Rattus norvegicus: one gene and its partners. The protein of the gene in region 5 interacts with the protein of the main gene of each other region in a biochemical or structural test. Links are inferred from orthologs where the notes say so. Each region holds a gene or a part of one and is shown on either strand. Other genes may lie near its edges.

Region 1 (4,684 bases), on a different chromosome or scaffold from region 5:
CATAGAGGATATGACTACTGTTACCTGCAGGCAAGATATGGCTAACAGGTGGGTAAATTCATCCAGGAATGACTTTTAAACCATACTGTCCTATCAGAAAGGCACAATGGAAGAAGTCTTCAAAATGTAACACCATCTGCATACGGAGGGGCATACTTTAGGAGGCTTGCCAACTTGTGACTTCTGATTCACATGCCCACTTAGCCATAGGCTCTGAAGCCCAGGATATGTCATGCAACTTACCTATTAACTTCCCACCTTATGGAATCAAGAGCAACATTTACATTGTGAGCTTTATGGAGAGAATGTACACTAGTCAGCACTCAGTGGAGTTCACTCTGTTTATAGACAGAGGCTGACTAGTGCTTGACCACCAAACAAGCAGTAAAACACCTGATTCCAAGGCTAACTGAACCTGCTCCATCATGTGTTTCCAGAAGTGATCTGTGTGGATATCACAGTCAAGTGTTCTGCCCTCAGCTCCAGTCTGATTTTAACTAGGAAATTGCCTCCTGTAATGTAGCTAGGTTTGGAGTTGATAAAGACAATGCTACCTTTCTGTTCCTGAGACCAAAATACACAAAGGAGGGTATTCAGAGCAGTCTCCTTCAGTCTAGCACTGTCCTTGGGCCAGAGTCTTCTTATCTCAGCTTCGTAGCTCCAAACTCCTTGCACTATCTCCCCACTGGTTCTGGTCTAAGAGCAAAGCAAGAACAAAGTCCAGGGCTTCTGCTGATCAAGAAAAGTCACCCCACTTTTGAATATGGGGCAAGCCTCCTTTTCATTAGGAAAGTCTGAAAAGGGAGGACCAAGACGACTGCAGCAAAGAAGCAAGAGGGGAGATTCTGTGGTGGCAATTTACACGGCAGTTTACTTCTGCCAGTTTTGGTGATGTGGCTTTACACAAGTGATCTCCTAAGCCTTAGTTTCATGTGTCACACTGGACATAGAAAGTATATTTAGAAGGACTGCCATGAGAAGAAAGTACACATAGATCTTTGAGAGTAGTAAATTCTTAACACTTACTAGGCACTAGACAGTAAGTACCCCGATTTATTTCACTGAGTCCGTACAGCAATCCTAGGATGCAGGTCTCTGAAGAGCTTGTGCATTGAGAGGTCAAACTTGTGCATTGAGAGGTCAAATAAGTCTTAAGATTTCAAAGCAGGAAGAGAAAAAGCCAGGATTTGGACCCAGAATTCTTGACTCTCTTGCTAGGTCCCTCATTTGTGGCATGATTGGCATTTCTGGCTAGGTGACAGTTTATTGTGGGGGTTGTTCACTAGAAATCAGTAGACCCCCACAACCCCTCAATTATGACAACTGACAATGCCTCCATCCAGACATGGTCAAATGTTTCCTGGCAGAACAAAACCACCCTATCTGAGAACTATGGTTTTAGGTAATGATACAGTCTAAATACTCAGTACATGTGAGGCTCTCCCTTGCTCCAACCCTGTTTTGTTTCTCGCCCAATTCTAATACTTCATTCATAGAATCACTGCCTCTTTGTGCTATAATAGACCTTCTATAAAATGATGTCAGATCTAAGATAATTTTGGCTTATACCTTTGAGGGCTTAGGGGTACAGAGAAAGGGATAAGTAGCAAAGCCCCTAGGTAGTTTATTGTTCTTCCCCAAGGCCTATAATGTTGAGTCTGTGGTGGGGAAGTTGGGGTGGTCAGAGTGGATTTAGTGAGAATACCTGTCTGCCTCAGGATTAAAGGGCCTTTAGTTAGCAAGTGAGGAAGACTCTGCCCTTCAGAGAATGTCAAACTCTCCTTCAGGATTTCTGAAGACCAGTGTCTTTATTTCCAAACCCCTACATTCTCCTAAATTCCATTCATTCATGCATAGTTTATTTATAAATTACTTTCAGGTCCCTGGGTCTTCAGAACACCCTCTGGGTTCAATTATGCAGAAATCAAGAAACAAAACAAACAAACAAACAAACACCTCCTTTAGTGGTCTCAGAAATTTCACCTGGTTTTGAATTGTACAATCTAGTTACAACATTCACTCCCCACCATTCAATCCTTTACAAACCCCATTCTCAACAATAAATCCCAAATCTAGAATTCAACCTCTTAGACTGTGTATGTTGCAACCCTGCAACTCACCAATAGCTCTTATGTGTCCCACATCCCTCTGGTACATCCTTTCATCTATTTTCAAACTCCCTACATCCTTTCATCTATTTTCAAACTTCCACTCCTATCACCCACGTATGGCAGCTCCAAACTCCAATCCTGTACCTTAGACTCTGCCTCCTTCAACCTTTTCCCTCATCTGCATTCCCCATCTTGTACTGTGCCACCTCCAACCTCCCCACCCCCGCCCCCGTCCTGCCTCACGTGTTGCCTTCAAACCTTTGCTGCGATTTGCTAACTGGGTACTGATTCCCTTGGGAACTCACCCCTCAATCTTTCCCAGATTCCGCTACAGAAATCCCTTTCTCTTCAGCATTTAGGATCTTCCAAGACTCTGGCTGTTTTGATCTCGGATCTTGCTACCATTACACCGATCTCCTCAAAGCCCTTAAGATTCTGCCCGCCAACACCCAATCTCATCCAGGCCTGCCAAATTCCTTTCTGCTTCTGATAGTATGCACCCAGATACCTCCAGGCACTTCAGGTCCTCGCATCTTACACATGCTGCACCCCGTCTCTCCGCATGGCCCCCACATTACCTCATACCTCTCTCCCGACATGCTGCAACTGCAAATTTCCTCAGCCCCTTTGCTCCCCTCCCCCAGCTGCATCTCAGCCCCGCCGAATCGCTCCTGAGCCCGTCCCTCCCCAACCCGGTCCTGCCACTCAGATCCAGTCCCCAAATTCTGCCATTCAATCTTGGAGCCCCGCGACCCACCACAGTCCCTGATCGCAGACCCTCCTTCCCGCCCCCTACCTGACCGCCCGCGGCTCCGACGCGAGTCCACCGCTGCCAGCCCACCCGCCCGCTGCCTCCTGCGCATGCGCTAGCGCGTACATCCCACGGCAATAGCCAATTTGTAGAATCGCCTGTCTGTCAACTTGCCCCGCCTCCCGAGGCATGCTGGGGCTTGTAGGCCCACGGCCCAGCGCCTGCGGCCCAGCTAAATGGGTAGGGATGGCTTCAGAAACCTAGGCCATTGCAGCGTGTGATCCAGCTTTCTGCGCTATTTCAGAGTCTAAACAGGGTTAGTCAATGCTAATCCCTCAGTAGTAGTCTCCAGAAAGTTCTGGCACCTTACAGAGAGACGCCTCTTTTAATCTTATGTAGGGAAGACGAGCACACTCCCTTCAAAGAGCAGCAGGTCCCCAGGCTAGGTCTTTCTGCCTGTGACACATCCCATAGTGGAGTCACAGAATACACAGCACTTAGGAAAGAGGTTTTCTTTGCCTCACAGCATGGAGGCGGATAGCAAAGGGAGAAAACAAGGAAAAGCCTGCATTCAGTCTTATCAGATGGTCAGTTCTGTGGCCCAGTGACTGGTCAGGTCCTGATGGGGACTGGTAATACCTGCTCTTGAACCTGATGAACACACAGTACTAGTTGGGAATATGAAGGAATCTGAAATACTAGGCTCTCATATTTGAAATTCCACCAAGCTGAGTACCCTCTGCACTGATGATAAGACAACAAACAAAACCAGTAATATCTTTAAACACTTGCCTACAAACTACAGACTTTGGGTAAAGAAACTGAGACCTAGGGGTCAAAGACCAAAGTAACCAGTTTCTACCTGCCAGAACCTGGATTTAATTTCTGAGAAGCATTCTTAACCTTGTTTTATTTTTCCGTTTCTTTATCTCGAAATAAAATTATGGGTTGTTTTGATGAATTACTAGAACTCAGAAAGATGGGAAAAGCAAATTTACCCCCCCCCCATCCCCAACTTGTCCAAGGTTCTATATCCACAGGACATCAGTTTAGATGGAACTCTGAACCAGGCTAGTCATTCTCCAACTGGACTCTCTTCTGGGCGATGCAGGAGTTCTCACACAATTTTACCCTGAGTACAGTGTTGTTATCTCAGATAATTCTAGAGCCCTGAGCCAATCCAGCCACCCAGAACTCCCAAGACCTGCTCAGAGAACATGTGACTCGAAGTTCTCTGAAGAAATTTTATCTGTGCTGGCAATCCTATGGACTGACCAAATGCCTAGAACTTCAAATGTGAAAGGATAGAAACCTGGTATACACACTTAATCAAGTTTATCTTGAGCTATCTTTAGTTCTCTGAATGGGCACTTATTACCAACCTTTGACTCTGACTTGCGATTATTAGGTAAAACTGTTGGAATGTATCCTTAAAGTGGAAGACCACTAGCTTCCAATAGTTCTAAAGCTGAGAATGTTATAACATCTGGAAAAGATACAAGAAATTTCCCTAGCTTGCTGTAGTCCACCTACCTGATGTCGCCCCGTGATGCATTTAAGTATTTTGACTTAGGAGTTTTTTGTTCTGGGAATAGGAATGTTCACAGACCTCTTCCACTGTAAAGTGTGTTATATGGGAGAGACAAGGCTATGCTTATTCCTATTTGACTCCGAATTACTTTGGGAGCAAAAAAGGAGAGGAGTACAGTGTTCCATCCTCTCTCCTTTTCTGACATCTGAAATTCAGCGGTCTGGGACCATGGAACTACCTGTATAACAGGTTGCATTAAAAACAAACTATGACTGTGTTCCTGTTTTGTTT
Region 2 (4,155 bases), on a different chromosome or scaffold from region 5:
GACTTGAAACTCTCTGATAGACTGTGGACACCAGTCCATGTGCAGTGTCCAGTGTAGTGCTAGCACGCTGTAACTGTGCGGTATTTACTAGAAGATGCAAAGATGAGAATGAAAAAGGCTGAGAAGACAAAGAGGGAAGAAAAGAATCCATACGTGTTCCGTGTGAGCCATTCCAATTCCATCTTCCACTATTTGTTCTCCTCCTTCAATGTGCTGAACAATCCCAACTAATTTTCTGGAATAATCTGAGATCTCCTCAGTGAAGGTTCGTATGCAGTGAGCCATGTCTAAAATTGACGCTCGGATCTGGTTAGCTTCTGGCTCCAGTACTGAGTGCTATACATACAACACAATTGTAGGAAGGAGTTCACAAAGGTGTATAGTGATTTACAAAAACTACTTAAAACCCTTTTAATGTAAATGAACATCTGTCACAGTAGCTTTCAAACAAGTACAGTGTAAGAAGACAAAAAATACAAATTTATTTTCACTTCTTTTTAAGAGGCAGACTACAGAGAAATCAGAATTTGGAAGTTCAAGTATTGTTCATGGTTTCTATACAAGAAATCAAGAGATTGTCCAAATCATAAGAGTTATCAATAGATACATTGTCAGAGCAGTACAGTGTATTATAAACACATGCACATAAAGATGAGATTTTCTGTATCCTGCTAGAAATAATCACAAAGTCTCTCTGAAATACCATTCTGAAATTAAAATTCTCAACTCTTTCCACATTACTGATACTAACTCATTAGTCACTTAGCTGTCTTCAAAAGTTAAAGTTTGTTTCTGTCTTTGAATAAGCAAACAGGCCAACGAAAGCTGGTGACATAACTCGTCACCCGACGGAATGCAGTGCGTACCTTGTGACCCTGGTGTTTTCCATATTCTTTGCAGACACAGCACATGAGAGGACTAGTTTGACAAGCTTCTTCCAAGCAAACAAACTCAATGGCATGTACCTGGTGCTGACAGCACATGGTCTTCTCATGAGGTTTATCAGCTAGAGGCACTCGCCTATGCTTGGCCAGTGTCTTTGTAGAATGTGTGACTTGAGAACACTCTGAGCACAAGTGAGTCGCACACACAGTGCAGTACACAGATGCAACGTGAGCTTCATCTTCATCACAGCGAATGATACTCTAATAAATAAAAATTAATGCCTTAAAACTGAACCACTCATTAACGCATGGCAAATTTTGAACTACAAAACCCCACAATCTTTTCTACTTAACTTACCAGGCTCACATATGATATTAATAAAGGAAATTTGTTAAGTCAATCATTCCAAATAGAAACAAAGAACTAAGAAACTGAATGAAGAAAACCAAAGTAAACAAAGCAAATGATCTTCAAAATATGTGGCTTCTAGAGTCAAATGGAGTTCTGGACATTAATCCATGATGCAATAACACATTACAAAACAGAAGGAGGGCACAGAGAACAACTAGCCACAGTTTACTCAACGCATCAGCTGGATACAGCTTAGCTAGTTGGTCATGGGAGTTCTTCAACCACCCAAAGTCCAACTTCCTCGATTAACTAAACTAAGCTTAAACTCTGTATTGGTTTGGTCTGTTGGGCCCAGAACAAGCATTCAGTAAACATCTATGGCCTCACACAAATTTTATTAAATAACGAAAATATACTGGTAAGTATAAAGGTCATGTGCCACCTATCCACTAAAAATTATTAAGTAATAAGCTATTTCTGAGACTAATTATCAACACAGGATATTATTTGAAGCAAAAGTAAATTTATTCTCATGAATACCCTTTTCCCCCCAAGTGCTGAGGGTTGAACCAGAACCTTATAAATGCCAGACAAATGGGCTGCCATTGAACTACATACAAAGACATCTCATAGAGTCAAAAGGCAAAGACCTCTTCCATTAAATTTTCAGAAGCAGAACCACAGAAACATGATTCTTAAAGACGGACTTAAATTCCCAATGCTTTAGTTACCTGCCGTGACTATGCAAAGAAAGAAAATCAGCACTATGCTGCATCAATAACCTGATAGTAAGGTACTGAATTAGCTTGAAAACACAAGACGCCCTGCCTTAAGATGGGCTACAGCTCCATAGGTGGATGGATTTCTACAATCATGACTAAAACCACAGATTTAGAAAAGAACTAATAAGCCCTTTATGTCAGCTGCTAAATATTATTTTTAACTTTAAGTATCACAAAGCATTTTATTTGTTTGTGGTCCAGGTACTTAAACCCAGGGTTTCTTCCGTAGTAATGAAGTACTCTGCACTGAACCATACCAAAGTCTTTCTAAAAGGCATTGACGTGTATAAAATAACTTCTAGATAATAAGGAATGCTTTGCAAGCTTCCATATAATATTAAAAAGCTGTAACTGGCAAAGGAAACATTTGTTTATTCTTCCAGAAATAATAGATAATACACAAATGATATCATTTATTATCAAAGTAAATCTTAATGCAAAGATTGAAACAATTTACTTTGCAATAATAATGTGTATTTGTAGCATAAAATTCTCATATCGTTTTCTAGACCTTATAAATAATTTATGAGATCAACAGTACATAATATTCTAATGTTTTTAAAATAAAGATAGAAGATATAATATATGAAAGACTTGTAGAAATTTTATACAGGAGTAATGCTTCAATTCAGAAATCATTTTTCCAATTCATTATAAATAGAAAGAAATCACCAAAGGGAAGTTACAATTAATCTGTTGGAGTTTTTTCTTCTTAAATCAAATACTCAGTTTTTAAAGTCCAAAACTAACACTATTAACAGTTATTCACTACAAATATTCTTCTATACACAGATCTTTCCTTTGTTAAATAAGCTGTGCAAACAACTGTTAAAATGCTACCTATGTGTTGTCACTTGTTGTTGGCAATACCTACCAGATATCTGCTTGTCGGGATAGCATACATCAATCATACCATTTAACTTTTTTCTTACTGTTTTGAAAATATTTAATAGCAGCAACTTCCTCAGCCTTCACTGTTACATTTAAACTAGCTCTCCTCTAACCTGAATGGTCTCTCCTAACGTTTGTTTATCCTTTCTTGAACTGTGCTGTTGAGGCTCAGCTTTAAACTTTCTGTACTAATGTAGATTAAACATTTCTCTTATTCTCTTATAATGTTCTACCTTAAAGGTTTTTCCTCACACATAACTAAATTGTGGGAGGGAAGAGTTTCTCATAAAGTAGATTAGACAAAGAACTTCAACAAATTTAATTGTTTTATTTTTGAGAACAGTAGCTACTTTAGAATTGTAATGTCATAAAAACTTGTGTTCCTAAATTCTCACAGATACAGCAAATAAGGTAATATTGTACAAATATTGGAAAACATTTTAGGATTACAAAAGCATCTTGAAGTAAATATTTCAACAAGGTCCATGAGTACCTCTCCAGATATCCCAAGGGCTTCTTCTGCAGCTCCATACTGACCAATATGTCCATTTTGCAAACGTTCTAAAAGCTCCAGTAAAGCAAAATTTTTTTTCAAACCCCAGACACCTGAATCTCCTAGAACAAATATGAAAACAAAAGTAAATGTAACAAAATGGAAGTTTAGTCAATTTACACATACCTTAAGATTTCTAACACACATAGTTTAGTCATTAATAATGTCTAAACGTTGCCAGGAAAAGGGCTTGTTAACGTTAACAAAGAACTTCTCACCTTTACAAGTAGACACATACCTTACAAACTTTTTATTTCACTTTTACTATATAAACTAAAACAAGTATTTCAATATTTTTCAAATATTTCTTTACAGCTACCTACAGTAAGAAATACATTTTACATCACAATCCAGGAATAAACACACTTGTGTGAGTGCACACACACACAAACACAAACACATGTACGCACATACATACAGACCAGAAAAAATAAAGTTCAACAAACTAGGGGCTAGGGAAATGACTCAGTCAGAGTCAGAGTTCGGGTCCCCTAAACCCATATAAATGCAAGTGGGTATGGTGCTCACTTGTAATTCTAGCATTAAAATGTAAAGACAGGGGATCTCTGGAGCAAGCAGTAGCAAGACTAGCAATATTCGCCAGTTCCCAAAGAGTCTCAATATCTACCCTGGTCACCTACATACAGGAAGATAAAAGTGCAGTCACACGTATGAACACAGATACAAGAATGA
Region 3 (4,598 bases), on a different chromosome or scaffold from region 5:
AAGTGGACCAGGCTTAAGAAATAACTGGAAAATCCAATAAGACCTCCCATCTACAGATCCAGTCTGACCTTCTAAGTTCTTTCCTTAGGTACTTACCAATACTGTTCCCATGGCCAAAACCAGCAGTCCTACAATCCCAGTGAAAGGAATGAGGTAATAGCCCAAGGGGAAGCTATTGTCTGGGACCAGAAGCACCCGAGCCCTGAGGAAAAAAAGACAGTCTCAAGCCAGGCAAACTAAGGTTACTGGCTTGGGACAAGGCATAAATGAGAAAATCAAAACAGATGAGGAAGACCCTGAACCTGAGTGGATAGGGCAGTGAAGTTGGGTTCCAGACTGGCATGGAACCCAAAAGAAGACGGAAGAAAGCATATGTCCTACCCCTTCTCGTAGACAAAAAGAGCTCGTAAGTACTCTGCACTTCTCTCTCCGATAAATACAGATGGGATCCAGATCTGTTGTTGGATTTCCTCTGTAGGGAGCAGGAGATTAGGGATTTAACCTTCCATTCCTCAATCCCCTGAAACTGGCTTTAGGCACATTTTGCAGGTCTCAACCAACTGCCCTGTAGGTCTTTAGCCCTCCCACTGAACTATATGGAGAGACCCAGCAGTACAGACTTCTTCATCCTCACCACTATTCCACACCATGTTTAGAAGTTCATTGGAATTCACGTTGTGTACCACAGCTGCACCATACCCAGCTTTCTGAGCATTTAGGACCTAAAAAGACAAAGCAGGACAGAGTTGCAAACCTTGCCTTTCTTCATTCCTGGTGTCATTTTACCCTGCTTACTACCACCCGTTCCCCATTCAGCAACCTTGAGGTCAAAGTTGCAGTCGAATCTTCGAAGCAGTGCAATAAAGACTGACCCATTGACTGGGGCTGAGGGTGGTGGGGCAATAGGACTGCAGGCATTTTCTGGGTGGGCCTCCACAAGGAACCCCTGAGGGATAAAGGCAAACAGATTTTTCCATCTTTTAGTATTCTGTCTTCCACAGGACCTACTAAACATAACAGTACACATACTACCTGTATTCGGCAACTCTACCATTACTCATTCTTGTGGTCCCACCCAAATCAGAATCTACAACTCAGGTAGACATGGTGATACATGCATTTAATCCCAGCACGTGGGAGTGCAATGAGTTGGGAGGCCAGCCTGACCTGCACGGTCGGTGAGTTAGGGACAGCCAGAGTTAGAGTCCAGTCTCAAAAAAACAGAAAAGATCTCTTAGCTTCCTGAAGATGCAATTACAGTAAACAACATCCCTTTACCCAGAGGCTCCCTTGACTTCTCAAGGCTAGTTTAGTTCTGCTTTTAAGTTTCCCAGGGACAGTGATTCAGCTTGCTACTTATTTGACTTTCACAGCATATTCAATTGCTTCGTTTTCCAATTAGCCATCTTACAACTCTACTGCTGTGGCAGTAGTTATGTGGCAAGAACTTCGTAATGAACTCTACAGACATGCTTATCTCACTAGTTAGCACAATAGCCCTAAACTAATTTCTATTACTTGTTTTCCAATAAAAGACTGTCCACAGCCATCCATGCAGATAGTAAGTAGCTCCAGAGACATGGCTGATAAGCACCTGTTCCTTATCTTAACCTGTTCTCAGACTTCCTCTTAAATTTGGAAATTCTAGGGGCTGGAGATGGCTCAGTGGTTAATAGCACTGGCTGTTCTTCTAAAGGACTTGAGTTCAGTTCCTAGCACCCATGTGGCATGGCAGCTCACAACTGAGTGTAACTCCCAGTTTCAGGGGATCTGACACCCTCACACCTAAGTACATAAAGTAAAAAAATACCTGGGAGTTCTAGGGGTGGACATTGTCTTTTATCTCTAGATTCTGGACTCTGGGCTGGACACGATCATGCACATGTTTTTTCGGGGGAGGGGAGGGTTGCTGGAGATTCAACCTAGAATCTCACTCATACTAGGAAAAGCACCCTATCACTGAACTGTATCCCACAGTCCAATGTATTCCACTGCTATCTCAACCATTTCCTACCTCCTGAGCACGGATACTTAACCCCTGCCCAGGATACACGTAGGGAAATGAGGAAAGCATCACCTGGAGTCCCTCATCGCTCAGAGTGGCCCCAAATAGAGCTGGAAGGTCTGCAAAGTCCATGCTGGCATTGTGCTCCGAAGTCTGCAGATAAAACAGTACATTTTCCAGTCTGAAACCCATTCTCAACACCCTTTCCCCATCCGACCCTCAGACTCACCGCTCGAATAAGCCCTCGGATAGGGGCTGCTCCCCACAGCACAGTAGCCACAACAACAGGGAGCGGGAAGGCCGCAGGGTGCATGGCAGCAGGAGGGGTAAAGCTGGGAAGGTCGCGTCCTGATAGCAGGAGCAGAAGCCAAGTCCTGCGCCTTCTCTGCCTCTCCTTCAGGATCCCAGGGGTCCAACCACCCCTAGGTCCCACTTCTCAGCTACATGGGGGCGTCGGGGAAGGAACTCCGATTCGGGAAGTGAGCTATCAAACCAGCTTAGTGGAGGTGGAAAGGGAGACAATGTATCTTTCTCTGGTACAGAAGTAGAACAGAATAGGAACGAAGGCAAACAGGTAACAAAAAATAACTTCTGGGTGGGAGAAATCTCAAGGAGGTGGGACTTCCGGCCAGGTAGGCCTTCTTCCTATGCCCCTGGAAAAGGATTTCCGGTAAGAAAGGCCGCTTCCAGTATTGGACGCTCAGGACGGAGGACTTCCGGTCCAAAAAGGCCGGTTGAAAGAAATGTTCGACACGTAGAGCGTGCCTGCGGAGATGAAGGGAGCTCCGGTGCTCAGCAAACGATCTAATTTTTTTCCCTTAGTCCCTGAGATCTTGGAGCTACCTGTTTACAAACCTCTCCTTCTTCTGGCCGCCGCGATACGTTCAAGTATCGCGAGAATGCTCACCAGCCTCTTACCCCCTCCTTCGCCGCTGGAAATTACCGCGAGAGGCCTCATAGCTCGAACTCGACTGACTCACTTGCTCTCGCGATATTTTCAAACAAACTATTTTTCCCGCGATTCCAATTCTGGGGGGCGGGAGCTACAGGGTAGCTTCCTAAATCGGCCACGCCCCTTCGCCTTGCATCTTAGCCCCGCCTTATTCCCGGCTGCCTTTGCGCTACGAGCCTGCGCCCGCCCTAGCTTCCAGCTGGAGCCAGATTTGCCTGTCGGAGGGGCGTGCGCGCGCGCGCCCTCCCCCTGTTGCGCGCTGGTGTCACCTTGGGCGCGAGCGGGGCTGTGCGTGCACGGGACCCAAAGCCGAGGGCCATCAAGGGACGATGGCGGCGACGGCGAGTCCCGGGGCTGGCCGGATGGACGGGAAACCCCGTACCTCCCCTAAGTCTGTCAAGTTCCTGTTTGGGGGCCTGGCTGGGTAAGCTCAGGCCCCAGGATTGGGGAAAAAGGAGGAAGGGATGGGAGCAAGCAACTGGGCCCAGTGCAACTTGGGAGTATGTTGCAGTAAATTGAGCCGGTGCGGGGTCCCTGATGGGTTGCTAAGATCTATTCACCCATTGCAGGGGCCCAACTGGGCTGTATTCAAGGGTCATTGCCCCGTGTTTCCACCACCATTGCTTCACTGTGCCTGTTTGGGTTGTGGGTCGAGGCCACTAAAGGCTTTATCATAGGACACCTTTTCCACCCTTCCTTAGACTTCCTGTAGTCCTAATTCTGCTTGAACCTTAAAGAACTGCCCGAAGTATTTTGATTTGCGTGGTCTTTACTGGGCAACTGGACTTTTTCTGGCACATTTCCCTTGATGCACACACTTAAACACATTCCCACCAGCCTCCTGAATCCTTAGTTGCATGTCAGTCCCTGACCTTTGTAACTTCTTGCTGCCAGGTTACAGTAGAGCTGGAACAGCTGACCTCTGATTTCTTCCCTGTCTTACTTAAGGATGGGCGCTACCGTTTTTGTGCAGCCCCTGGACCTGGTGAAGAACCGGATGCAGTTGAGTGGTGAAGGCGCCAAGACTCGAGAGTACAAAACCAGTTTCCATGCCCTCACTAGCATCCTGAAGGCAGAAGGGCTGAGGGGCATTTACACTGGGTACTGTGGCCTCAAGTTGGGGAGGGAGGTTGCTGGTTGGCAGGTTCAGACCTTGGCCGGATGTGCTGACATTTCTACTCCACAGGTTGTCAGCCGGCCTACTGCGCCAGGCCACCTACACCACTACACGTCTTGGTATATATACAGTGTTGTTTGAGCGCCTGACTGGGGCTGACGGTACACCCCCTGGCTTTCTCCTGAAAGCCCTGATTGGCATGACTGCAGGTGCAACTGGTGCATTTGTGGGAACACCAGCTGAGGTGGCCCTCATCAGGATGACTGCTGATGGCCGGTGAGTTCCACGGCTAAGCTGAACTCCAGCCCCATTCCTGGAATCTAGGATGATTTCCTTGTTGTCGTTTGTCTTTGTCTACATCAGGGCACTTAACTGTTCAGGCTTCCCTTTCTTTGATCCTATGGACCATGGGCTGTCCTGATCTTGGCCTTTCCCTGCCCTTCCCCCAGGCTTCCAGCTGACCAGCGCCGTGGCTACAAAAATGTGTTTAATGCCCTAATTAGAATTGCAAGGGAAGAAGGAGT
Region 4 (3,500 bases), on a different chromosome or scaffold from region 5:
ACAGTTGGTGAATAGAGATGGGGTGGGATGGGCACTGCTCCCACAGGCAACACTGGGCTGAGGATACTAGCAGTGCTACATCTTCCAGATTGCTGAAGAGCAAGTGAAGAACAGGCTTTATTGCACTTTCTCATTCTTAGGAAACAGGTTGCCCTGCAGAGTCTCTTGATTTGCAGAAAACACTGCACATCAATGATAAGTTTCAGGCATAATCACAGGTCACCTCTGCTCTCATGGGAAGGAAAACTAAGTCCACCAGCTAGGCTGTTTCACGGGCAGTTTATGTACTGGTATCCTTGGACTAGATGGACTGTCTGGCCAGGTCACTGTTTGGCAGGCAGAATAGCTAACTGGCAGGTGCCTTGGGAATGTTCTGCACCCACAAGAACTGGGGCAAACTTTCCCAACAGGGAAACTTCTTGACCAACACATAAGCTCCACAAAGAGGCTAGAGCCATGATGCTCAACTGCAATATGCCTGACTCCTTTTTTCCAACTCTGGGTTCAGACCACCCAGAGGGGCAGAGATGCTGAGCTGATCTGGGAGGATCCCTGGATCGTGCTCCATAGCATCAAACTGGAGATAACAAAAGGATGTAAGGGGTTGGAAAACAAAAGACCAGTTTACATCAGACATTGATTTTTGAAAGTCTTTTTGAGCTCAGGAAACTGGAGGCAGATACCATGCAGAAAAGCCAGCCCGGTTGTCTGTCCATTGGTCTATCCTGAGCAGTTGTGAACATTTCATATATAAATGGGATGGTACCGTTTATGGTTGATCTTTTTCCTACAAGTTGGGCAAGTGTTAGCATTCTTAAGGGAATCACGGAGGCACTGGCTACAGAAGACGTGGCCACATTCTGTAGAAACAATGAGACGCCCATTCTGCACAATCTAGAAGACATTAAAAGAACAGCCTTTAATAAAGATTTAAAAAAACAAAAAAAAACAAAAAACCAGCCTTAAAGTATCCCCTTTTCTACAAGGAGACCAGTAAAACAAAGGAGCTGGGTTATACCAGAAAAGGCAGAGGCATATACAACAGTCTCATTGGACAGGACTTCGCCAAGTGCAGTAGTACAAAGTGATTATGAGGAACCTCAAAAAAAAGCCAGCAGCGGGGTTGGGGATTTGGCTCAGCGGTAGAGCGCTTGCTTAGCAAGCACAAGGCCCTGTTCGGCCCCCAGCTCCGAAGAAAAAAAAAAAAAAAAAGCCAGCAGCTTCTAGTTAAAGCTGGAGTGGAAACATCAATTTGCACAAGGGCTAAAGATAAAATGTGCCACCACCACCGACACATACACTTGCAAATTAGCCTCATGACAGGTATCAAATTCCACACAATGCACAAATCCTCCAAGTTCTTTTGAGTGAAGTAGGTTGCTTACCTCAGAGTATCCATCCATGCAGATCGGACAACTGACGGTGCCCGAGGGCCTAAAATCACAATGCTTTGCATCAGTTTCTAAGTAAAGTACTCAATTATACCCTGTAAAGCAACTTCAAATACACAGTCTATATCTTCTACCAAATCTCTCATTTTTGCTGAGTTAGGACAGGCACCCAAAAAACAAAGGTAAAGTAACTGTAGGTTTGGGCTCCAACGGCCATTGAAAAAGGGAATGAGAGAAGGTCTAAATAAAAGATGTGGTTAAGTAGGCTTGCCCACCTCTTTTACTTCCAGCACTGTTGCTAGTGGCACCTGTAACACCTTATAGCCACCCCCATCTGTGACAACCTGGTAACTGTGGATACGTCTGGCTCCTGCTCTATCTACCAACTGTCTATCCTGAGCAGACAGCTGAGCCCAACCCTGTATTCCCAATGTGCTCACCTGCTTGGAAGATTGTGCTCTGGAGCAAGAGCTAACATACCTGTTTGCATATGCAGTAACCCTGGCCTCTACCCAACACAGTAACACAGAGCACTTTACCTAAGTCCAGTAGTTCCTTCATCCTTGGTGCTTCGAGGAGTATGGGTAGTCACGTATACATCTTTGTCCTTAGACAGTTCTTCATCATCACTGCTCACCACACAGCTGTCAGCATGGTCTTGGCGCAACCTCCTCCCATTTCTCCTTGGCCTTCTCCTTTCTAAGGAAAAAGTCACATTTTCAGCCACCTTCACCTAATCCCATTTACTCTTATGCCTCTGAAGACCTTCTCTCCCCTTGAGCTCTCCAGAGAGAAACTGCTACATAGTAGCTCTGCCCTCAGGTCCTATCAAGGCATAGAGGCCCATCATCACTTGCCTTCTTAGAATAAAGCTCAGCCCCTGGTAGCATGGCAGAGATTGTCAGTAAAACAGCAAGTCTGACCAAAGGCATCTTCCTGCCGAAAGGTCTTGGAAGGACAGCCTGCAATGCTATGGCATTTATTCATAACAACCCAGAGAAAAAAGAAATTAAACCAGCTTACCTTCAACAATCTGAAGATGGAGGGCAGGGGAGGGAAAAAGAGAAGAGTGTGTTATAAACATTCTGACATTTTCTCTGATAAAACACACCTTGCATCTAGTATATATGTATGGCTTCCCAGTGCTCCCTTACTCCCAGGGAAGGGAGATGATGTACGTGTACTTCTACAGACCACCTATAGACATCTCCAGGTCAGTGCATCTGTGAGTCAACATGCCTCTCTGAGAATAATCAGCAAAGCTCATTGCTACCAACAGACAATAACAGCCTTTGGAGAAGGATTTGTGCTATTAACATCATAAAAGATCAATTAGGTATTATCGTGAGTCAGCCTTTTGTTAACAAGAACTAGACAAACACTTGTTAGGTAGCTCAGAACACACATTAATGTAGCCAAAGATGATCTTGGTTTCAGACCCAACTTTGCCTTTCACCAAGTGCTGGATTTGAGGTGTGTACCACCACATTCAGTTTTTACACTGACAATTTCTACCAATTCAACTCAGATTACTGCCACATTCTAGAAAAGGAGAACATTCAAGTCATGGGAGGAATGGCTGTAAGTTTTTCCTTTTCACCATACAGGATGCAGCACTTCTGAAAAGCACAAAACATGAGTCCCCTAGTGTCCATCCAACCCTGTGTCACTCCGTCATACCCTTCATCTGGACTCCTTTGCAGCAAAACTGTTGGCCTTAACTGGCTGTGGTGGTGCAAGGCTTCTTAATACTTTTAACACTACCACTTAGGAGGCAGAGGCAAGTGGATAGGAGTTCAAGGCCAGTCTGGTCTATATACCAAGTTCCAAGGCAGCCAGGACTACAGAGAAACCCTGTCTCAAAGTCCCAAGGTCAGTTCCCACCTTCCACATTTTATCTGAAGGACTCAGCTCAGAGAAAGGTAGCCCACACCACCGTCTCCTTAAGCCCAAAGATTCTAGTACAGGGGTGAACTCTGCTGCCTGCTCTTCAGTCTAGAGCAGCACATATAAAAGCTCACCTGGTAGGCTGATATTAGTAAGTCCTAAGTTATTTCAGAATCAAGTCTGGAGCTTCTTCTAGGCTTTTTAATACCAACTCACCACCCG
Region 5 (4,633 bases):
AAGGCCTGTTCAAAATGTGGGTCTAGCTCTGTGTACTTCCTGCTGGAGACCATGCTCCATAGTGAATGAATCCCCTTATTCTGCCCACATAGGTTTCCTTTTCCACCATCTCCTGGTACACATGACCTTTCCAACTTCATTAGGAAGTTCCAAACCAACACATTTCAACCCACCGTCCTAACTTCTCCCTTTCATCCTGTCCTAGACACCCTTTCCACTTTTTGTCTTTCGATGTTGACCTAGCTCTCCTTCAACGCACACAGCCACTGCTGGAACAAGTTCTCTAGGCGTCTAAACCTGCTGCATTCAGCACACTGGCTTGCAGGTAAAGCCGTCACTTGCTGATCCCCAGCTGCCCTTCCTACTTGCCATGTCTCTTTACCAGCTGCTCCCAACTTGTCCCTCGTAGGCCAGGCTGACAAGGAATGGCAGTGGCCGTCCATCTAGTCCCAACGGTTTTCTAAGGGTAGGAACTTCTCCAGTCAACATTCAGTGTCCCCTTTGACAGGAGAAGAAGGTCCAGCTAAAGGCAGCAGGGCTCAGTGCATTATACTTGGCCTCTTCCTACCCTCCAGAGACCTTGAGAAAGGAAGACTGATCCTACCTGGCATAGCCCTGGGATTACAGGCCTGTGCTACCATTCCTGGTGGTGCTTCATGCCTGTTCGGCCAACACCCTCCCATCTGAGCTACCACAGTTTTACACTTTTTGCTTGGTATTTTGCTCATGAGACAGAGTGTCGTGGAACTCTCCCTATAGAACAGGCTGACTGAACTCACAGGACATCTACCTGCCTGTTTCCAAGGGCCGAGCTAATCAAAGGCCTGTACCACTACACCCAGAACTAAGTTTCTAGCCTTCTAAGCATACAAGACAAGCTATATCTATGGAGAAATCTATTTATTTGTGCTATACTGATAAAATGCAAACTACTTTCTATACCTGTCCATTTTCTTCCTAACACAGTCACAAACGCACCGATTTCTAGCTTAATGCAAAAGCCCCACTGACATCACAGCTCATGTCCTGCACTAGGGCAGGACAGGCCAAAGTGAAACAGAGAGCCTAAGAAGACAGAGAGTGACCAAGAAAGGCCATCCAGAGCAAGATGGATGGACTCTAGGCTCAGGGAGATTCTCGGAGGTCATCAAAGACCCTGGAGGGTCTGAGATATAACCAAAAACCAGAGAAACCCAGAGCAGTTTTATCAAAGCATCAACACTGCTCTCGAGACCTGAACACTAACCATTTAAAATGACTGAAGTCACCATATATCAGTCCGGTTAGGTCACTAAGACAGCACACCAAGTTTCTGAATTTCAGGTCAGGGAAAAGGACAGATGAGACTGTCAATCTCTGAGTGCCAGGCTCACTACTCAGCAGAGAGATCCAACGCCATCTAGACCTTCCACTTCATTTAAATTCTTTAGAGAATGCCCTTCCCCACCAGCCCACAGTTTCTGTTCCTTACTATGGCCAACTATCTCAACAAAAAGAGGAGTTATGAAAGGACGTCAGGGAGTTCCCAGGTACCTGCTAGAGACTATTTTAAGGATCACAGGGATCAGAGAATGTGACTTAAGGTCGACAGAGGTAAAGTATATCTACCTGCCTTTTTACACAAAAGACTATCGCTGGCTGAAGTAAGTGACTCACTTCTGTAACCCCAGCAATCAAGAGGCTGAGACAGAAGTTGTGCTGAGTTCAAGGCCAGTTTGGGCCACAAGAGACCCTGTCTAATAAACAAGTCTTCCTGAAAAGTATCAAACTGAAGTTCTTAAACAGAAAAGGAAAAAAAAAAATCTCCCCAAAATACCTGAAATAAAATAAGTTTACAGTCACTCAGTGATTCTTTCACTACCTCAACTCTCCAAACAGGCAGAGGCTCTTCAAATGCCGCCATAAAACATCACGTAAATTTCTTTAACCACTAATGGGAGTTAGTTATTCCTTAAGTAATGTATGGGGGGGGGGGGGAACCCAGTTCAGAAAACACAACCCCTGCAACAGGTGAAGAGGAAGAAAGATGGTCAGAACTCGTCTTGACAGAATTGCCCAGGAAGGTATGCTTAATAATGAAGTATGATGACAGCCTCTAGGAAGTCGTGATTACTAGAACGAGGACTCTGAAATCACATTGCGAGAGTCACTCATAAAAGTAATGAGGATTCTTGAAACTCCCAACAAGAAACGGACGAGGCCAACCACAACTCCTGCTTGTGGACATGGGCTTTAACAAAACCAGAAGCAGCGAGCAGGAGAGAAAACAGGTGGGACTCCCGTGCCCCATTTTCCTGCCTGAGAACGTCGTCGTTGAAGCCTCCCTCCCTGACATGCAGCACGAGGCGACCGGGAAGCTAGATGTCTGTGGAGAAAGGAGTGGGATACCTCTTGGCACTGGTGGAGAGGAGCTTCGAGTTTTTGCTCATGCTGACTTTACTCTCCTTCTTCTTGGGGGTGCTGCCTTCTTTCTCGGTCTGCTGGTTGGAGGACGAAGATGAGGAAGAGCTGGTGCTGGCCCTCGAATCGTCATCCGACATAGCGAACCCCCCACCCCACCCCGCGAACGGCCCCTGCAGGGGGAGGAAACAAAACAGAAACACAGACCATGCAGGCGCTGCAAAGAGGGAACTCCGCTGTCAGGAGGGCGCGGGCCGGGCCGCCCCCGCCGCCCTGCAGAGGCTCCGGGCCCACCGCCGCACCGGCCGAAGAGACGCGGGGGCCGCGATCGCGCGGGGGGTGGCCTGAGGAGGGCCAGGAGCCGTCGCCGCCGTCCCTGAGGCCTCCCGGCGTCCGCTCGAGTTTGGTGAGGTCCGGACGAGCCGAGCAGCCAGAGTGGGTGAGGAAGCCGAGCGTGGGCCGCGTGGGCCGCGGGGACACGGCGCCCGGCCAGGCCCGGCCACGCGGGGCTGCGCTCGCAGGCCGGCGCGCACAATGCGCCCCGGGCGGGCGGGTCCCCGCGGGGACCGGGCCCCGCTGACAGTTCGCGCGGCCCCCGCCGCCCCGGCCCGCCGCCCCATCCCCGCCGCCCGGCCCTGCTGCCTGTGGCCCGGCGGTGCCGTCCGCCCCCGGCCCCGCGGCCCGCTCGCCCGCCCCGGGGGCCCCCCGCACCTCTCTTTGTGTCTGGCTGCTCCGTGCCGCCGCCGCGGCTGCTGCTGCGGCTGCGGCTGGGCCTGGCCACTCGTGTCTCGCTCTCGCTGGGAGAGAAGCGGAAGTGCAGCAACAGCAACTATTAACCAGGCAATGGCTTCCCCGGCCGCACACGCTCCGCGCCACTCCTCCTCTCCGCCCCGCCCCGCGCCCCTCCCCCGCCGCACCTGGGGGCCGCGGCCCCAGAGCCCCGAGCGACCCCGGCGTGGCCTGGGGACCGGGCGCCGGGCGGAGCCGAGGCAGCCGGGCGGGATTGGGAGACGACTGGGCCCGGTGGAAACCGGGGTGACCAGGGGAAGTTCTTCCCAGGAGGGCTTTAGGGAAGGGCTGGGGGGTGAGATGGCCGGAGAAGGGAAAAGGTGGTACTCTCCTGGCGAGGACTTTGACTCCTCCCCAAAAGTGATCCGTTTGTAAAGAAAGGGGGGGAAAATCCCCTAACAGGGTTTTCCTTTGGGCTGACACTTGTTCCTCCCTCTGGCAATTGCGTGCTTGGAGCAGAGGTCACGCCTGTGAGAAAAAACCCAGACGGGTTTCTGTTTAGGACACACCAGGCGTGTGCAATTTTACACTAGATACCCCCCTCCCCCCTGCCCTTCACTTCTTATAGAGAAGAATGTGGACTTTTTTTTTTTTTTTTAATGTATGCGATTGGAGTTCGTGACAGATAACCACGACCCGGCATGGGATTGTAATATCACTGGAAATAAACCATGAGCCGATGATTTTTGACAGGATTTGGAATTCTTAGATTAGATATAATGTCTGAGTCTTAGAAATTGGAAAAAAAAAAAGTTCTAGAAAGCACCCTACTTTCTCTTTACTCCAATATGATGCTATTCAAATAATATTTTTAGAATAGTTACACAGTAATGTCACTAAATTGTTCCTTGTGTGGCACTGTACCGAAGTTTATTTTTAAAAACATCCCACCATTAAATTAGGACTTCGTTTCTTACCTGTTTGTCGTTTACCCTAAAGGGAACAGACCCCTGCCATCCAAGTACAAGGTCCACACACACAAGATCTTGTGTCCTGGGCAGACAACTGCACTCAGATTTCCATGGTCCACTTTAAATGACCTCATTCAAATTGCCTCCCATGGCAACCCTGGCTTCAGTTACCACACAGGATATAAAGAAAGCTCACCGACAGTAGCCAGGAGAGCAGGCATTCTCACTACCCAGCTAAACCCCTTCTAGCTGTCCATCTGAAACTCCAGCTGTGTTAAGATTCATAACGTAATTACACACTTTATTCCACTCAAATCTTCAAGGAAACCTGCATCTAGTAAGAGTTGTCTTCAAATCGTGTGTAAGATTAGTGATAAGACCTCTCCTAGGCCACCATTTGAACCTCCTTCAACAGAAAGAACCCTTCCTCTACTACCCAAAGCAAATGATTTGCCCCGTTTGGGACAGAGTTTCTCTGTGTAGCTCTTGCTGTCCTGGAATTCCAGACCAGGCTGGCCTGGAACTCACAGAGA
Region 6 (3,325 bases), on a different chromosome or scaffold from region 5:
TTAAAAGCTGTCTTGCAGAGCAATTGCTCAGTGCCTTTTCTGTGCACTGTAACACACTCTGTCAAGAATAGGGTAATAGCTCTTCTCTCTTGCTCTCACTCTTCCTCTTCTTGTGCCCCCTTGGTCCCTGTCCCTTCTCTCTCCATTCTCCCCTTTCCCCCAACATGCTCATGGCTGGCCTTTCCTCTCTTCTTCTACTCTTCTTCTCTCATTAAACCTTTCCATATTGGGGGCTTGGGGGGAAGGTAATGATTCTCTGTAGCCAAGAACGGGTGTTGGGAATTTCTGGTGACATAGCTGAGAATGCTTCAAAGGGAAATAATTAAGCCAAAAGAAGATATTATGTCCATCTTGTTGCTGTGTACAGTGGTTGTCTTAGTTTGGGTTTTATTGCTGTGAAGAGACACCATGACCACAGCAACTACTATAAAGAAGTTGCCTGTAAACACTTCTTGGTGCTACCTACAGTTTCAGAGGTTTAGTACATATTGTGGAGGGAAGCAGGCAGACATGGTGCTGGAGAAGGAGCTAAGATGTCAACATCTTGATCTGCAGGCATCAGGAGACTGCCACACTGGGTGGAGCTTGAGCATAGGAGACCTAGGAGGTCTCAAAGCTTGCTCCATAGTGACACACGTCCTCCAACAAAGCCACACCTACTCCAACAAGAAGCTCACTCTTCAAGTGAAGATTTGAATACTGAAGTACTGGTACCATCTATGGGTGGAGAAGTGGAACCATAGTGTAAAAGGAACTGTCTTTGTAACCCACTAGTCATTTTAATGAACTGTTTTATGTTTTTGTTACAGAGGGTAGGTGGCAAGAAAAACAGGCAAGAAGTCAAAGGTGAGGTATCTTTGGAAAATTTAATTGGACCATATTTTCTTTCTTTGCTGAAAACATCATATATCCGTAGACATTATGGGTTCCATAGCTTACAGAGGGGTAGTGGTTTTCCCACAGTTATACACTGTACCCAAATTTCTATAGAAAGATAAGACATTTCCAATCTTGCTTTTGAGTATTTCCTAAGAGATGCTCTAAAGGTTCCTCACAATGGCAAGTAATGCAAAGTAAGGCGTCAGTTCTCCCCCTCGCATGCTTAGTGCAATGGAGGAATAGGAAGGAAGACTAGTTATGTCAGTGCTAGTACCCTGGGGGTTGCTGTTGGGTCCTCTGAGGTGCACCCATGGCACTGAAGTGCTGACGCACCCCTGCACTGAGGAACCTGAGATGGGTAAATACTGGGCAGCTTGTCACAGCCAAGCATGACTGTCACAGCGGAGGGGACTTGGAGTTATCTGGTTCTTCCTGGTGCTCCCAGGGCTACTGGCCTTCACATGTAGCAAAGAAGCCAGGGCTAGAGCCTCACCAGTGGTCTCCCACTTGGCACTACAGTACTGCAGGTTCACTTCCATGTGCCTTGCAATGTATGCACTCAAAGTAAAGTTAAAAGTGCCTTTACCAATTCCTATGTCAGACTACTAGAATGAAAATAAAAGCATTTGATTTGATGAAAACAGCTCCCTGGTGAGATACCCAGGTAGTGGGCAGCTGTCATGATGTTTGCCTATGCACAAATTTAATTCTGTCATTTACACAGCATTCTCATTTCTCAAACTTGTTTCATTAGCTTAAAAAAATTAGGATAAGGCAACCAAATATAAGTAATTCGGGTTGCTGAAAACATCTGGAACATCAGCCTTCATCTTCTCGAGTGTTAAGAGCCCATGATTAAAATGTAATCAACGAGGTTCTTAACAAGAGGCAATGCAGCTACTCTCGATAAATGCACCTCTAGTAAACACAGGGCCCCCTCATAAATATAAAATTAAATTCTTTTGAGGAATAGTTTTCTGACTTTAATATTTGGGATTTATACTTATTCTTTATATTTTATAGTAAAAATGTATGGTCTTGGTTTCTTTATATTCATACACAAATGACCTCCTCAGCAGGCTCACATCCGGATGGCAGGTTGGGGTATTCGGCCTCTCTCAGAGGGACGGCGGCCACTTAGCACGCCTTAGAATCCCTGCAAAAACTCCTGCAGCTGGGTGACAATCTCTGTGTCCACCGTCTCCATGAGGGACTGGAAGCCTTGCTCCCCCAGGATCTCCTGCTGTGCTTTGAGCTTCTCATAGATGAACTGCTGCAGAGACACTGTGTGCACAGGGTCCTTCAGGGCCAGCTGTGGGACAGAGGGCAGACAGGGTCAGTAAGACAGACAACCCTACACACGCCTCACTGTGCTCTCTAATCTCTCACAGCGGCACTTCTAAAGACTCTCCTGCGGACAGTTTTTTTGGGCCAAGTGTGTCTCTCTGATGTACCCTGTTTCTCAAGAACTGGGAACACATCCTTTTAAAGTGCTAGAATTTAGCAGAAAGCACCATAAAAGGAAAAGAAACAGGGTACCAAAGCGACTGCCCAACCTCCTAAGGACAGAGACTCCATGACAGCAGCCCCAGGAAGTAAGCACACACTATTTGCTCTAGCTTACACTGCAACACCATTTAATCTGTGCCGATGTTTTTAGGTTGGGGTGAAGTGTCAGATTTTGTTTTTCCCCCAGTCCCATTACAGTATTTTGAAAATCAAAAAAAATTTCAATTTTTAATATTTTTATGCTACTTATGTCCACACTATAAGCTATACATTAGTACTCTTTTTCACCTTCATACTATCACAAAATTCTTTCTTAACACATGTTCAGTATTTTAACGTATGCCATGTTTTTTTAACCTGTTAAACGTATGTAAGACCACAGTGTAGTTTAACAATTTTATCTATAAGTTTGCTGAATACACCACACTGCTTTGTGTTACTGTGTAAGTGGCCTTTCTTTATACATCAGCTTCTTTTCTTTTGTTAGAGCAGGTCTCAGGCAGTCAAGGTTCGCCTCACGTTAGAAGCTGCAGCTCCGGTCTGCCTTGAACTGCTGCTTTCGCCTCTGACACTGGCACTGTAGGCATATGCCACTGTGCTCAGAACTTCACCTTGTTCTCCTAGGAATCTAAAGAACTACTAGAGCATAAAAAAAATTTCTGACTCCTATATGGACTATCAGCATGTTTTCCTTATGGTTTGTACCAATATAAAAGACATAACAGTATTAAGTAGCTAACACTGTGTTGGCACTGATATTATTTAAATGACTTATAACTGTAACAGCAAACAACACAATATAAGCTGAGAATTTATTTCACCATCAGTGACCATGAACATCTATATAACTTTCAATAAAAGCTATGAATGCCTTCCCTGATGTTGCTCAATTCAATCTATAACTTCTGTTTGAGTCATATAGATGTTAAAATACAAC
Region 7 (4,862 bases), on a different chromosome or scaffold from region 5:
CAGGAATCCACTAGGAAGTTAAGATTTTCAGACTAAGAGATAGAAAGTTTTATTTTCTAAGTGAAAGAGGGGCCCAATGCCATGTTGAGTCACATGATGGCCCAAGCATGGGAATCTTAAACAAAGGAACAGAGGGGCATCTGCTCACAGGCTCTAGGTCCCTGGCTATGAAGAGCAAATCTACTATATGTCAGAACATAGCTATACTATTGTAATATTATATATAGAATGTATCAGAATTTGTGATATCCTGGCCTAAGGAATAATTATAAAGTAAATACACATATGTATTTATATACATGTGCAGTATCCATGAATATTTACATATAGTATTTTATAATCTTAGATTAGTGAATTGCAAATTCGTTACTTTATTTGTGACGGGGCAAGACAGTGCAGAGGTTCCTGTATCTTCTGGTCTTGATGAGGGCATTTCAGGTTTAATTGGAATTTGATCTCCTTGATGGACAATCCATGGAAAATTACCAAAACATGTTCTAGGACCCCAAGGTCAAGGTGCCCTAGGGAGTTTATCTTAGCATCTGTTAAACTGCCTCCTCTGGTGAAACCCAACTGAAGCTTCAAAAATCCAGTGTTCTGGACACACATACTCGGGTTACAATTGGGTCCCAAATGCCTGAGAGTAGTTCCAGTTGACTGGAATACAGACTTTCAATTGACTATAGACTGTATCAGAGTGGTTATCCTTGGGAGCCTTCCTGTAAGCAAAGCCTCAGTGCTGTCTTAAGTGAAGCAAGAGGCTGAGACCTGAGGGATTTGCTTCTGAGGAGAAAGGCAATCCTGGAAGGAAAAGAGCCAGAAAAGGAGTGCACAAATTCTGCCACTCACCTTGTGGTGAACCCCTCTAGCGTGAAGGTAGAAGGGAACCTGACAGAAGCTCAGTCAGAGGATAACTGTCCAAAGGTGCAGAGCATATATGCACAGTAACTTCCTATGTGCATGGAGAACCAGAGGTCCTCCACAGTGGGGGTGCCTGACAAACACTCCTTGGTGAGGAGGCCAGCAGGAAAGGGGACACTGAGAATGGCCCATTCTTCTGTGGGCTCCCACCTGAAATCCTACAACCCCAGTCTAATCTCCAAGAAGAACATCAGATAAAAAACGGCTGATAAGCATTGCAAAAATGCCTGGTCACAACTCAAAACCTCAAGGTCACTAAAGCAACACATGTCTGAAATATGATCTGAGTCTAGAAGAACCCAAGGGGATGCAATAATTAAACACAGTGTGTTATTCCAGATGAGAGATGGGAAAATACAAAGACAGAAAAAGGTGAGGAAATACAAATAAAGATAGGACCTCAGTAAAAATGAACAAACAGTACATCCGTAATAATGATTAAGTTATTAAAAATAACACTGGAGACAAGACCTAAGGAGATGGCTCGGGGGTAAATGGCTACTTTTACAGAAGATCAGAGTTCAAATCCTAGTACACATGGGACATCTCAAAAAGTCCCCAACTCCACCTCCAAGGGATCTGAGGTCCTCTCTGACAGAGACTATGGAGAGGACAGAGACTGTGGAGAGGACAGCATCTGAGGAGAGGTCAGTATCTGTAAAGAGGACAGAGTATGTGGGGAGGACAGAATCTGTGGGGAAGGCAGAGTCTGTGGAGAGGACAATGTCTGTGGAGAGGACAGCGTGTGTGGAGAGGATAGTGTGTGTGGAGAGGACAGTGTCTGTTGAGAGGACAGTGTCTGACAAGAGAACAGAGAATGTGGAGAGGACAGTGTCTGTGAGGAGGGCAGAGTCTGTGGAGAGGACAGTGTGTGTGGAGAGGGCAGTGTCTGTGGAGAGGACAGTGTCTGACAAGAGAACAGAGAATGTGGAGAGGACAGTGTCTGTGAGGAGGGCAGAGTCTGTGGAGAGGACAGTGTGTGTGGAGAGGGCAGTGTCTGTGGAGAGGACAGTGTCTGACAAGAGAACAGAGAATGTGGAGAGGACAGTGTCTGCAAAGAGGGCAACATCTGTGGAGAGGGCAGCGTCTGTGCAGAGGACAGTGCCTGTGGACAGGATAGCATTTGCTGAGAGCAGATATACAGGAGGCGAAAATGAGTGGAGAGTAGGAGATATACTAGGGTTTGATTAGCTGATATCCAATGAACCTTTATGTGTTGTCACCACTTGGAAATTCAAGAGAGCTTGTAAGTCACATGTCCTGCCTTCCCATTCCTCCCTGGTCCAGTTAGAAGTGCTTTGAACCTCATGTGGCTATATTCATGTCTCCTCATGCTCTCAGCTTCCCAGGCTGGAGACAGACCACAGATTAGGACTCTGAACCCCTCTGGTAGGTGAGAGAGTTAGTGTCCCAGGAAAGAGCAGCCCCTAGAATTTCACCATGGCTCTAACACTTCTTTATGTCCACCTGACTATGCACTGGCCTCCCTTTCTCCCTTGGCTTTCTAATTTTCCTCATTTCTGGGATGAATTCCTCCATTTCCTTCCTTAATCTCTGACTAGCACTATGAGAGATGAAGAATGGGAGGTAGGGAATGCAATTAAGAATGTATCTAACAAGAGGCCGATGCCATGGCTGTAATCCTGGCCTCAGGAACTGCTTCCTGGACTTGACATTTACCTCTGCCCTCCTTGTGACCTCTGTAACTGTGGTTCACAGTTACTCTCCTTCCATCAATCTTAAGTCAAGTAGGAAATAATAATAGTAATTACTTCATACAGTGGTCATGATAATTAAAGAAATTAATACAAGGAAAGTACAATTCTGTAAATTTTAATCATTATTTACTTTTACTAGAATCCCACCATGTCTTAGAAGTAATTGTGTTTCCACGTCGAATATGCAGTACTGATGTTTGGATAACTGTAGCCATTTCTTCTCCCGGAGTTCCATGCACTATGCTGTGGAGTGCCTAGCAATTGATCTCAAGTGATGGTGGTGTCCTGATAGCGCTATCTTTGGCTCAGATACAGCTTTCTATTTTCGAAGTGCTTGTACGGACATTATCTCAGTTAATCTTCACAGGAGCATGGCGAGATAATTGGGACAGCATTTACTATTCCCACCTACAAGATGAGTAAAGAGGAAGAGGGGCTTGCTTACTATTTACAAGGAGGGCAGAAACAGGCATCCCAGGGCTCCCAATCTCTTGCTTTTGCAAGCTTAACTTTTACACTGAACTGTTAGCCCTGGCCACAGAGGACGAAGGAGAGAGAGTAGCTCTTCCACCTCCAAAGGCTCATGTACCCTCCCAATAAATCCAGTATGCCTAAAACCATGTTCATGGTTGGTATGTTCAGAGACCTCTCCCTCTTGTCTGGTGTCTGTGTGCACCACTGCAGGTTGACCAAGAGAACAATTTATACTGTTAGTTATGGAGAAGTCTCAATAGCCTACAGCAGAGTTCTTTACCTTTACAGTAAGGTTAAGATTGGCATTAGAGAGAGTCATTTTCTCTCAGACTATTTTGTGTTATTTGGGTTGGGTTATTCTGAATTCAAACAGAAAAACAGGGGATCAGTGAATTACCACTATCATCTTCAGACAGTCTCAGACAGACCAGAACTAAGGCTACTGTTAATAATAATAATAATAATAATAATAATAATAATAATAATAATAATAAATAATTGTGATATTTTATCCAGGAAGCAAAACTCTTGGCAAAGTTCCTTTCCTTACCTAGCCTGCCTTTGCTCCACCTTCCACCCTCTTTCGTGTACCCATCCTTTCTCTTCCCCTATCCTCGCTCTCGATCGTCTACTGTACATCCTTCCACCCATCATCTGTTCATCTATACATCTTCTACCTTCCACGCTCCACCTCCCATCTCCTACCCTGCACCTACTCACCCTCCGTCCACACATCTGTCCTCTCCCCATACAGCAAATCACTCACTCACTCATCGGAACTCTTAGCCACTGAGGAATAACATCGCAAACATAACAAAGAAGGTATTCAGATACTTTTTATGGCAAATTATCTCTGATTGGTAGGACAATTTAAAAGCAATTAGTTCTACTAATCATGTCAAAAGGAAAGCATTTTCTACAAACTGCTACAGTCAAATATATAGTTCCAAGGCTTTGATATAATACCTAAAGTAAGATAAACTTAGTTACAAGTTTATTATATAAATATAATATACTTACATATAAATATAAAATATAAAAATACGTAAATATTAGTATTATTTAACAAATGTGTGTTAAATGTATAGTATTTCATTTTTCCCAATATTTTCTAAATATATCAGATTTAATCAAGACTTCTAAATGCTAGGCTAGCATACAAACTAAATGAACTGTAAACTTTCTGAGATCTGTTTGGTACACCTCCTAGAAAGTGAGTAAGTAAATAACTTATTTTAGCATTTTAAAAATAAGTGGTTCATAATTATTTTTAACAAGATTAAAATGTACTCAATTTGGTTGGAAAGTGATTGATTGGTGTATTTGTAGACAATTGATGTATTCGTAACAAAGAATTACTAAATATTTTTTGTCGTTACATTGCAGGTTTTAGACATTTAAAGAATGAAATGATGATATAATAAAACATATGTCTATATTTAATCCCTATTACTTATTAACATGTGCTTATAACTATAGAAATTAAAAGGAAAAACAGGATGATGAGCCCATTTCATTACAGCAAAGGGTAAGATACCCATATACAGATCTGTCTTACAAATTAGGAAAACAAAACAAACAAACAAACAAACAAACAAACAAAGGGCCAGGAAGATGGCCCAGTGGATAAAGGAAATGCCATGCAAGTCTGAGGACGTAGGTTTGGACCCCAGAGCCCACATAAAGCCAGCCGGGAGACTGCATGCCTGGAATCTCTGTACGTCTGCAGTGAGGGAGGAGGTAGAGCTG

The links.
Region 1: the proteins of Ube2e1 (region 5) and Trim32 form a complex in vitro, tested with the Homo sapiens proteins (2 studies listed by BioGRID). The link is inferred for Rattus norvegicus from reciprocal best matches to the Homo sapiens genes UBE2E1 and TRIM32.
Region 2: the proteins of Ube2e1 (region 5) and Trim23 form a complex in vitro, tested with the Homo sapiens proteins (4 studies listed by BioGRID, with this or other methods). The link is inferred for Rattus norvegicus from reciprocal best matches to the Homo sapiens genes UBE2E1 and TRIM23.
Region 3: the proteins of Ube2e1 (region 5) and Rnf167 form a complex in vitro, tested with the Homo sapiens proteins (3 studies listed by BioGRID). The link is inferred for Rattus norvegicus from reciprocal best matches to the Homo sapiens genes UBE2E1 and RNF167.
Region 4: the proteins of Ube2e1 (region 5) and Rnf4 form a complex in vitro, tested with the Homo sapiens proteins (2 studies listed by BioGRID, with this or other methods). The link is inferred for Rattus norvegicus from reciprocal best matches to the Homo sapiens genes UBE2E1 and RNF4.
Region 6: the proteins of Ube2e1 (region 5) and Ipo11 form a complex in vitro, tested with the Homo sapiens proteins (2 studies listed by BioGRID). The link is inferred for Rattus norvegicus from reciprocal best matches to the Homo sapiens genes UBE2E1 and IPO11.
Region 7: the proteins of Ube2e1 (region 5) and Prkn form a complex in vitro, tested with the Homo sapiens proteins (2 studies listed by BioGRID). The link is inferred for Rattus norvegicus from reciprocal best matches to the Homo sapiens genes UBE2E1 and PRKN.

The regions. Positions count from the first base shown.
Region 1 is NC_086023.1:84,018,912-84,023,595, reverse strand, and holds the start of Trim32 (E3 ubiquitin-protein ligase TRIM32), read right to left. Parts: upstream 2,965-4,684; 5' UTR 2,908-2,964; intron 1-2,907. UniProt on the Homo sapiens protein: E3 ubiquitin ligase that plays a role in various biological processes including neural stem cell differentiation, innate immunity, inflammatory resonse and autophagy.
Region 2 is NC_086020.1:37,045,889-37,050,043, reverse strand, and holds part of Trim23 (E3 ubiquitin-protein ligase TRIM23), read right to left. Parts: intron 3,525-4,155; coding exon 3,403-3,524; intron 1,146-3,402; coding exon 867-1,145; intron 337-866; coding exon 154-336; intron 1-153.
Region 3 is NC_086028.1:55,857,586-55,862,183, reverse strand, and holds the start of Rnf167 (E3 ubiquitin-protein ligase RNF167 precursor), read right to left. Parts: upstream 2,931-4,598; 5' UTR 2,319-2,930; coding exon 2,235-2,318; intron 2,159-2,234; coding exon 2,078-2,158; intron 2,055-2,077; exon of another isoform or gene 1,168-2,054; intron 947-1,167; coding exon 821-946; intron 723-820; coding exon 635-722; intron 473-634; coding exon 382-472; intron 203-381; coding exon 97-202; intron 1-96. Other genes in the region: Slc25a11 (mitochondrial 2-oxoglutarate/malate carrier protein), read left to right, coding at 3,287-3,381, 3,906-4,058, 4,144-4,350, 4,524-4,598.
Region 4 is NC_086032.1:80,627,158-80,630,657, forward strand, and holds the end of Rnf4 (E3 ubiquitin-protein ligase RNF4), read right to left. Parts: exon of another isoform or gene 2,425-3,500; coding exon 2,415-2,424; exon of another isoform or gene 2,091-2,414; coding exon 1,931-2,090; exon of another isoform or gene 1,435-1,930; coding exon 1,386-1,434; exon of another isoform or gene 895-1,385; coding exon 745-894; 3' UTR 637-744; downstream 1-636. UniProt on the Homo sapiens protein: E3 ubiquitin-protein ligase which binds polysumoylated chains covalently attached to proteins and mediates 'Lys-6'-, 'Lys-11'-, 'Lys-48'- and 'Lys-63'-linked polyubiquitination of those substrates and their subsequent targeting to the proteasome for degradation.
Region 5 is NC_086033.1:9,869,204-9,873,836, reverse strand, and holds the start of Ube2e1 (ubiquitin-conjugating enzyme E2 E1), read right to left. Parts: upstream 3,296-4,633; 5' UTR 3,112-3,295; intron 3,022-3,111; exon of another isoform or gene 3,021-3,021; coding exon of another isoform or gene 2,703-3,020; exon of another isoform or gene 2,611-2,702; coding exon of another isoform or gene 2,608-2,610; intron 2,574-2,607; coding exon of another isoform or gene 2,541-2,573; coding exon 2,389-2,540; intron 1-2,388. UniProt on the Homo sapiens protein: Accepts ubiquitin from the E1 complex and catalyzes its covalent attachment to other proteins. Catalyzes the covalent attachment of ISG15 to other proteins. Mediates the selective degradation of short-lived and abnormal proteins.
Region 6 is NC_086020.1:39,902,469-39,905,793, forward strand, and holds the end of Ipo11 (importin-11), read right to left. Parts: intron 2,192-3,325; coding exon 2,027-2,191; 3' UTR 848-2,026; downstream 1-847. UniProt on the Homo sapiens protein: Functions in nuclear protein import as nuclear transport receptor. Serves as receptor for nuclear localization signals (NLS) in cargo substrates.
Region 7 is NC_086019.1:52,212,699-52,217,560, forward strand, and holds the start of Prkn (E3 ubiquitin-protein ligase parkin), read right to left. Parts: upstream 3,034-4,862; 5' UTR 2,875-3,033; coding exon 2,787-2,874; intron 1-2,786. UniProt on the Homo sapiens protein: Functions within a multiprotein E3 ubiquitin ligase complex, catalyzing the covalent attachment of ubiquitin moieties onto substrate proteins. Substrates include SYT11 and VDAC1.